Linked DNA regions of Ovis aries. The protein of the gene in region 1 interacts with the protein of each later gene in a pairwise test. Links are inferred from orthologs where the notes say so. Each region holds a gene or a part of one and is shown on either strand. Other genes may lie near its edges.

Evidence for each region. The genes of interacting proteins can lie anywhere in the genome.
Region 2: the proteins of DDI1 (region 1) and CYGB interact in binary tests that used the Homo sapiens proteins (3 or more experiments, as listed by UniProt). The two-hybrid records come from large-scale screens. The link is inferred for Ovis aries from reciprocal best matches to the Homo sapiens genes DDI1 and CYGB.

What each region holds. Positions count from the first base shown.
Region 1 is NC_056068.1:4,094,670-4,098,614, forward strand, and holds part of DDI1 (protein DDI1 homolog 1), read right to left. Parts: 5' UTR 669-3,945; coding exon 1-668. UniProt on the Homo sapiens protein: Probable aspartic protease. Seems to act as a proteasomal shuttle which links the proteasome and replication fork proteins like RTF2. Required, with DDI2, for cellular survival following replication stress.
Region 2 is NC_056064.1:54,559,138-54,563,844, reverse strand, and holds the start of CYGB (cytoglobin), read right to left. Parts: upstream 3,095-4,707; coding exon 2,952-3,094; intron 1-2,951. UniProt on the Homo sapiens protein: Probable multifunctional globin with a hexacoordinated heme iron required for the catalysis of various reactions depending on redox condition of the cell as well as oxygen availability.

The sequences.
Region 1 (3,945 bases):
CTGGACAGCAGCATGCTCCGGACCAGCGCCGGACTGTCCAGCCCTTGACCCGGGCCTGCCTTCTCCCCAGAGCCGTGGCGCCTGGAGTGCTGGGCCGACTGGGCACGCTGATGCGGCCGGGAGCTGGACGTCCCAGGCAGGGCAGGCCCCGCTGGCTCCGTGCGGCAGAGGCCAGCCACCCGCTCGGGGGAGCACGGCCGTACGGCCTCCTTCTGCAGTAAAATGACCATGTCGCCGTCCTTGAGGCCGAAGGAGCCCAGGGAGCAGTGATCTTCGACGAGGAGCCGCTCCATGTAGACGATTTGGGTCTCCTCGGCGGGGATGCCAGACTCCAGCTCACAGAGCACACGGAAGTTGTGAAGCTCAAAGTCGGGCCTGACCTGCAGGGAGAAGGTGGCCTCGGAGAGGTCCCTCCGCACGCAATAGACTGTGAGCAGCATGGCCTGGGCCCGGGAGGGCCGAATGGACAGAGGGCATCGGGCAGCTAGCTGGCTTGACTGGAGCTGGTCTCCGTGGATGGCTGGGCTGCTTCTGGTGACGTAGTGTCTTGCGCATTCACCTCCCCGGGAGATGCAGCCACTCACCGGTCTGGGGGTAGTCTGCCAGCCTCGGTGCCTGCTGCTTGGCTTCATGGAACCCTGCAGGGGCATTTGTGTTCCAAAGTCCATTCATATGTGTGCTGCTTGGAACGTATACCTATTGTTCCCATAGAAACAGTCACTCCAGCCCATTTAGTTCTAAGACTAGTCCTTCAAAGCCTATTTGACCCACAGTCTGAAAAAGATTGTTTCAGCTTTCCCTAAACAACATATTAGCAATCTGTTCATTTAAGAATTGTATTCTGTACTTTTACTTAACCCCCAAACAATGAGTACTTGTTTCCTACACAGCAAATATCAGGCTAAGTGGTTGGTATAAAAAATGATGGATGAGACATGGTGCCTTTCCTTGAGGATCTCATATTCTAGGGGTAGACTGATGGGAAATGACTAAATCACAATTCTGGAGGTCAGTACTTTCAGACGTGTTCAGCATACTGAGGGATTCAGTGGAACAGAGGATGTCTCTCTAAAGAGGAGACAGGTGGATGTTGAAGGATGAGTATTTCCCACGTGAAAAGTGGGGAGAGTCACTCTAGACAAAAAGAACTGTATGCATAAAAGCAACAATTCATAATAAGGTCTGTTCTTTCCAGAGAAATGTGATACATCAAATGTAATAGGAGAAAAGTGTCCGTGAATTTGAATGGCAGGCTGTGAAGCTGGAAAAAATTCATTGTAGCCAGTTTATAAACAGCCATATATGAACCCAAGGAATTTAAGCATTACCAATAAACAAGAATCCTCCCCTCCCCAACCCCACTCCAAAAAAAGATGGGGAAAAAAGAGAAAAGAAAGGAAATGGAAAGGATTTGAAGCAGGTCTTTGTGATGTTTATTTGTTTTATTAATTGATTTAAGCAAGAGTTTTCTCACAACAAATCAAAGATATAATTTGGCAGGAGAGTCAGCTAGAGGTTTTCTCAATGGCTCAAGGAAGGAGCTGTTGCTGAAATGTGAAAATGTAGGAGACAGTGAATAATTGTAGTGTTTCCTGAGTAGAATGTGTTTACCCGTTGGATGTGGGAGCAGAATTGTGTGGAAAATCCAGAAGTTCTCTAAAGCGAGAGACTGGTTAGAAATGTCATTGCTTTGAACAGATCAGTGAGGTGAACCTAGAGGAGACCAATTTGACATCAGTTCTATAGGAAAGAACTTCTCTGGTGGCTCAGACGGTAAAGCACCTGCCTATAACATGGGACACCTGGGTTCGATCCCTGGGTTGGGAAGATCCCCTGCAGAAGGAAATGGCAACCCACTCCAGTATTCTTGCCTGGAGAATCCCATAGATGGAGGAGCCTGGTGGGCTACAGCCCATGGGGTTGCAAAGAGTCAGACACAACTGAGCCACTTCTCTTTCTTTCTTTCTTTTCTTTCTTTCTTCTTTCTATAGGAAAAGGCAGGGTAAATGCCATACTGCTTCACACTCTGACCTGAGGGCACAGCCTCACTCCATGCTGGGCTCCAGACCCAAAGGCAGGGGTAACATGGTCCTTCAAGGCAATGGAGATCAGGTAGAAAGCCTAGAGTGCCAGTTGTTTTTCTTTGTTTCACTGTGTGTTTCCACTGTAGAGAGGTCATGTCTTCCTAGCTTGGTCTTCCCAAGTGTACTTTTTTATGAGCCAAAAGATAGTCGACGTCGTCTGCCTCATCCTCTCTCCTTATTTCAAGTCTTGTCAGAAGACCTGCACGGTTACTTAGAGAAAGGCATTATATCAGTCTGAAGAATTTGGAGAGGGGTTCTGTTTCCATGTGTCTGTTTCAGGTGGAAGACTATATCTGCACTCATTGCTCTAATCATCCTAAGGTCTCATGCTCACATTCATTTACATTTAGAATGTTGGCTGAATGCCTACTGTGTGTGGAAAACATGCAAAGTTTTGGGGGTGCACATAAATAATGTTAAATACAAGCTGTGTTCTTAAAGGACATACACACATATACCTACACATTGGGAGTTAAAAATACCACAGAATCTGGCAGAATGTAAGAGATATTAGTAGTATCTGTAGAACAAATGCAGAATATGGATAGGACTATTGGGCATGGAAGGCTTCCTGAAAGAGCTGAGTTTATGACAATGACAAGTTGGTCATGTGGGAGTAGGCTAGCAGGGAGAACAAGGCCAAGAAACCTGCCTGACTTTAGCTGGAAAGGCAGCACCTCATGACAAGGAGGACTTTACAGAATTTTAGGGGAAAAAACCTAGTGTCATAATGTTCTTGTAGAAAATCATGAATTATTTAGAATTATCTTTCACTCTTTATGGAGATGGATGGCCCTTTGGCCAAATAATAATAAGTTAATAAATGTCTTCTGTGGTTCTTAGTGTCCAGATAAGCCCATCAGAGATCAGTAATGGTTTCTCCTAAGTTTGGGAACAACTGTAATGAAGATCCCCTAGAGAAGGGATAGGCTACCCACTCCAGCATTCATGGTTTTTCCTGGTGGCACAGAAGGCAAAGAATCTGCCTACAAAGTGGGAGACCTGGTTTCAGTCCCTAGGTTGGGAAGATCTCCTGGAGGAGGGCATGGCAACCCACTCCAGTATTCTTGCCTGGAGAATCCCCATGGACGGAGGAGCCTGGTGGGCTACAGTCCATGGTGTTACAGAGTCAGACACGACTGAGCTACTAAGTACACACACATGCATAATGTGAGACATGTTCATATGCAAATTACTCTGCTAAGGAGCAGATGAAAAGTTAGTAGGGCTCACATTCCATATTCCTTTCCCCTACCCAACCAGCTTTGAACCGTGGTTCTTAAAATATTGATAAGTCACGAAGGTAATACTAGGACTTTTTTTTTTAAGCAGTAGATAAAATTATTTTCACAGAATAAGTCTTTTTTTTTTTTAAGCAAAACAAGTATTCAGAATTCATGTCAAAATCAGCCAGTATCTTTTTTCATGTTACCCTGCCTTGATACTGAATGCCATTAAATTTTATGTAGTATCTTTTATTATCTTGTAATTCTTTACCTTTGGTGGCATTTTGAATTTATGTGCTTTTTTACCTTTTACTGAGAACACACAGTGGAAAACAGAGAGACTCAAAGTCTGGCCAATTAACTGTCATCATTCTATAGATCACAGGATGTCAGGATTGGCAGGGAGCCTTCAGATTCTGTGGTCCAGTCACTCATTCAGATCTTAAACCTCAATTGCCAAATAGTCTGGAATCTGAAAAGATAAATGCAACCTCCTGTTTAGTACTTCAGTTTGTATATTCTTTGATTTTTCTTTTCATTTTACTCAGTATTACTGGTGATTCAAATATTATATGTATAATTTTTTTGCCTCAAAATTTTAAATAAAAACCTCTTCTAATTATGTAATAAACTGG
Region 2 (4,707 bases), on another chromosome or scaffold:
TTCCTTTAATGCCACAACCAGGCGGGTATTATGACGAGGAGGTAACAGGGACTATTTATTGAGCACTTACTATACGATCTCATTAATCCTTGGGATACCATTCTGAGGTTGGCACTGTTTTTATCTCCATATCCTCAATGAGGAATTGCTGCCCAAGGTTGCCCAGCGGAGTGGGTAGCAGGACCAGGAAGGAGCAGGAGCAGCTCCCACATTGATGACGTCCCCAGTCTATCTCAGAGGCTGCTCTGCCGGGGATGGTGGCCTGGGACCCAGTGGGTCCGCTGCCCAACAACACCCAGCGCCACGTTACAGCCCCAAGGAAGGACAGTCCTGCCCTGTCCCTTTTCTGAGCCATGAGAGTCTAAGGGTCTGAGCTCTGCTCCTTCATCCCTCTCCCGGGCCCCCTGTGTTTACTCCTGACCCTCTCAGTCCTGGCCTGAGCTGCTGCTGGGAGAAGCCTCAGCGGCCAGCCTTGGGGAGTTTCTCAGCTTCCAGAGGCATCTGGGCTTCCAAGAGAGCCTGAAATAGGCCTGTCTGTGTGAGGGGGAAGGCGGCAGTTACAACTGGGAGGGGAGCCCCCTGGAGCATGGGTGCTCCCTCTTGATCTCTTCCAGCAGGGAGAGGAGGTGTGGGGTCTGGGCGGCCCCTCTGCTCCCTTCCTTGTGGCTGCTGCCTCCTCAGGGGGTGAGACTGGCCCCAGGGCTACTGTCTCGGGCTCCACCTGAGCTGTGGATGGCCCATCAGGAGGTAGTCAGGACAAAACGGGGGCGGGGGGTGGGGTGCAGGATCTGAGGAGGGGCCTGCCCTGGGAAGCTTATAAGTCTTGCCCCCTAACACCGCCCACCCTGGGGCAGACAGCAGGTGCAGGAGTGAAAGAAAAGGGAGGTTGGTGGGACGGAGGGTCTGCTCCTCCAGCTTCTCTCCCAGGCCGGGCTGGGCTCTGGGCAACCAAGGTGGGGTCAGGTGCAGTGTAGCCGGGGGTTATCAGCAAGCCAGATCTAACTGCTATCTTGGTCTTCTTGGGTTACTTGTGGGCCTGGGCACTTGGTAAACACCTCCCCAGCCCAACCCAGTCCCCTCTGAGAAACTAGCTCCCCCCAGGGAACTAGAGGGGCACACAGAGAGAAAGAAAACCTTGCCAAGAGCTCAGACCCTCCAGAAACACCTCGGGGGTTCAGTTGCTTCCTCGGCAATTCCTCACTCCCCTTTCCTGGGGAAGTTGGGTGGGATCCCAGGAGCGGAACTGTGCACACATCTTCTGTGCTGGGCTTAGTTGCTCATTCGTGTCTGACTCTTTGCGATCGCATGGACTGCAGCCCGCCAAGCTCCTGTCCATGGGATTCTCCAGGCAAGAATACCAGAGTGGGTGGCCGTGCCCTCCTCTACATGTCCTTATTGGCAAATGGCAGGGTTTGGGGACAAAAAATAGCCATGGTCCTGTTAACCTCGCCTCATTTCCTCCTGGTGACCTGTGCGGGTATCCGCGTGCATCCTGAGGCCTCAGTGCTAAAAGCTGCCCCCCCTCCCCACCTGGATGCAGCCTGATGCATCTCTGACCCTGCGACCCACCGTGTGGGTGCTTGATAGTGCCGAGATGCACCTCCCATGTCTGATGGCTTGGGAACCTGAAATCCCCTCTTACTTCCCCATCACCCCGGCTGTTTCTGAGCCTGGGAGCTGCCCAAATAGCTGTCTCTTCCTTGGGCGCCCTCCTGGAACTCCTCAAGTGTGCTGCTTGCTCTTTTTTTCCTCCAAAATCTGTTACTAAGTTGGAATCAGGGCACATCATTATGGAGCTGGGTAGGTCCCAGGCTTGGGGGAGGCAGAAGGGAGAGAGTGTGGGAGAAAAAGAGGAGCCAGAGATGGGGCCAAGCCTGGGAGACAGGCATGCACTTCAACTGTCCTTTCCAATGGGAGGTTTCACCCCATCTTTAAACTAAAAGACTGCCCCGATCTGTCCTAGATTTGATAGCTTCCCTCTGCCAAGGACAGACAGTTGGGGGGTGAGTGTGGGTCTGGGGCCTCCATGCCTGCACCCCCCAGGGACCAGCATGTGTGGGAAGAGAGCAGTGATCTGGAGCTGGAGTCAGGTACTAGCTTATGCACTCTGTGGGGATGGCATGCATGTGCACTGACTGGTGTGTAGGAGTGTGAATAACAGTGTCACTCTGTGTGTGCATCCCTTGGGGGCATGTGGTTCCTGAATGACCCCTGAGCCCAAGACCCATGACCTTTCCTCCCCAGACCTGGGGTTCAGGATGGGGCCCTGTCTCCTGAAGCTTCTCCCTTTCCCTCCATCAAACTCAGCAGGGCCTGTATCCGCAGGGACTGTTCACTTCTCCACTCACCTGCACCTCGCCTGGGAGCTCCCTGTTGGCCCGGCCCCAGGGGCAGGAAGGGACCAGCTAGGAAAGTGGGACCTCTGGGGTCCACTTCTTCTGACCTCTATTCTTTTGCCCTTTCCGAAGCCCTTTCAGGTCTCTGCACAGGGGAAGGGGCTGAGCTGGAGAGAGGGGTTTGCTTCTCTTTGTCCTCCTTGGCTGATCCTCAGTTTTCTTGTCTCTAGAATGGGGAGCCCCCATGACCCCTATTGGAAAGGCCGTAAAACGTGTGTCCAAAACAGCTGCGGGTGGCTGAGGTCGCGGCGAGGTAGGCAAGGCTGGCTGAACCAGGAGTTCTGAGGCCCGGGAGAGGAGGGGGATGGAGATGCCTCCCTTCTGTGTCTGGTTCCTAGTTCCTGGTGAGCCCCTCGCCCAGAGCTAGGAAGGGCTCGGCCAGGGCTTCGCCCACCCCAAACCGCCCCAGGCTACCCGCAATCCCCAGACCGGCCCGGGCCCCAGTCGCAGCTGGGAAGGTGGCGCCCGAGCTCGGACCCGGGCCGAGCCCGCCTCTGCCCGGAGCCGCTGCCGCCGTCCCTCCTCCGGGCCCGGCCGGGCCGGGGCGACACCTACCTCACAAGGATGGCCACCCCCACGTCCTCGCAGTTGGCATAGAGCCGGGCCCACGTCGCCTGCACCGCCTTCCTCTCCGCCTCGGACAGCTCCTCGCTCCGCTCCCTGCGCTCAATCTCCATCTCGCCGGGCACTTTCTCCATGAGCAGCTCCAAGCCCAGCCCGGCTTCGCTCGGCGGCGGCGGGGCGCGGGGCGCGGGGCGCGGGGAGCCGGGGCCGGCTGCGTGCGCGGCGGGCGGGCGAGTGGTAGAGCGCGCCGGAGGGAGGGAGCGTGTCTGTCTGTGCGCGCCGGGTGTGTGTGTGTGTGTGTGTGTGTGTGCGCGTGTGTAGGGTATATGTGCAGGGGGCGGGGGACCGCGAGCGGGGGGCGGGGATGTGGTCTGCTGGAAAAAATGTGAAAAAAAATAAATCCGCTCCAAACCCTCAAACCCGTGTCCGTGAGCCAATTCCGGCAAGGTGAAGGCTGGGCGGGGTGGGGGCGACGCGGCCGGCGCCTGCCCGCCCTCCAGACCGGAGTTTGATGGCCGGGCGGGGCTTGGGCGTAGGTGTGGCGGAGGTACTGGGGGTCCCGGAAGGAGGGGACTGGCAGTCACCGAGTGCGGGGCCGCGCGGGCCGCACAGGAGTGCGCCGCGCTGGCGCGGGTCTGGGGGCGTGTGTGCACCCTTCCCGCCAAGGGGAACTGACTCTGAGTCAAACACTCCCGGGCATTTGCGGCGTGGCCGCGAGCCCGAGGGGGCGGACGCGAGCCCCTCCGGCAGCGCAGCGGTGGGAGCTGAGCTCCCGCTCGACTCCCGCCTTCCCGGAGCCAGCGGGGGGCTCTGGTGCCACCCCCAGCGCTCCGGACCCCAGACTCCGAAGGGTTTGGGACTGGGGTCATCTCCCTGCTCCAACACCCTACAGGAAAACTCCGGTGCGGGGACAAGAGGGCGGCTGTCGAACTTGAGCGGCCAAGAGGCCTGACCCCTCTTTCCTTCTCGCCAGCACCCCTCCCCCTCGGTGCACGCACGTGGCCTCAGAAAGAAGGCCCTGGAGGCCCTGGGTGACTTACCAATGACACAGGCAGGCCAAAAACTGGCACTCCCCTAATGCTGGCCCTGGAGGAACAAAGTTTAAAGAAGAGGCACCCGACTGGGCAAAGGGGCCCTGTGGTGGGGATGGCAGGATGTCAAGAAGTCCTGGGGAGGGCCAGGATGCTGGAGCCATCTCAGCTGCCAGGGCCTGGGTTAGGGAGGGGTTCTGTGGCTGGAGAAGACAAGTCCTGGTGTTGTAGCCACGCGGTCTGGAAAACAAACTCACTCAGAAGGACAATGCAGATAGTGGAGTGCAGTTTATTACACCAGCGGGCCCAAGGCAGGGTCTCCTCTTAGCCAAGGACCCCGACCAGTTTTTCTGAAAACTTTATATACCCTAAGTGTACGTGCCCAAACCCACCTCCCCAAATTCCCTGAAACTAGTCTGAACAAAGGAAAAGAAAGATCCAATCAAAGTTAACCCGTGATTCATATGCCTTAAGCCTAGGTAGTTAACACTGGACAATTATCAATAGGCCTGTGGTCATACCCCAATAAGCATAATAGGATTTATGATTCTATTCGGTTACACAGATAATTAGGGTATTCTCTTAGGCAACAAAGAGTCTAGCTACGAGCCCTGGGGTTCCATCCAGGGGGCCTGGTTTTCCAGTTGGTATGTAATTTCCACAGATACTGGGCATAAAGCTCAAAGTCTGCAGTTCAGCCCAAGATGGAGTCCTGC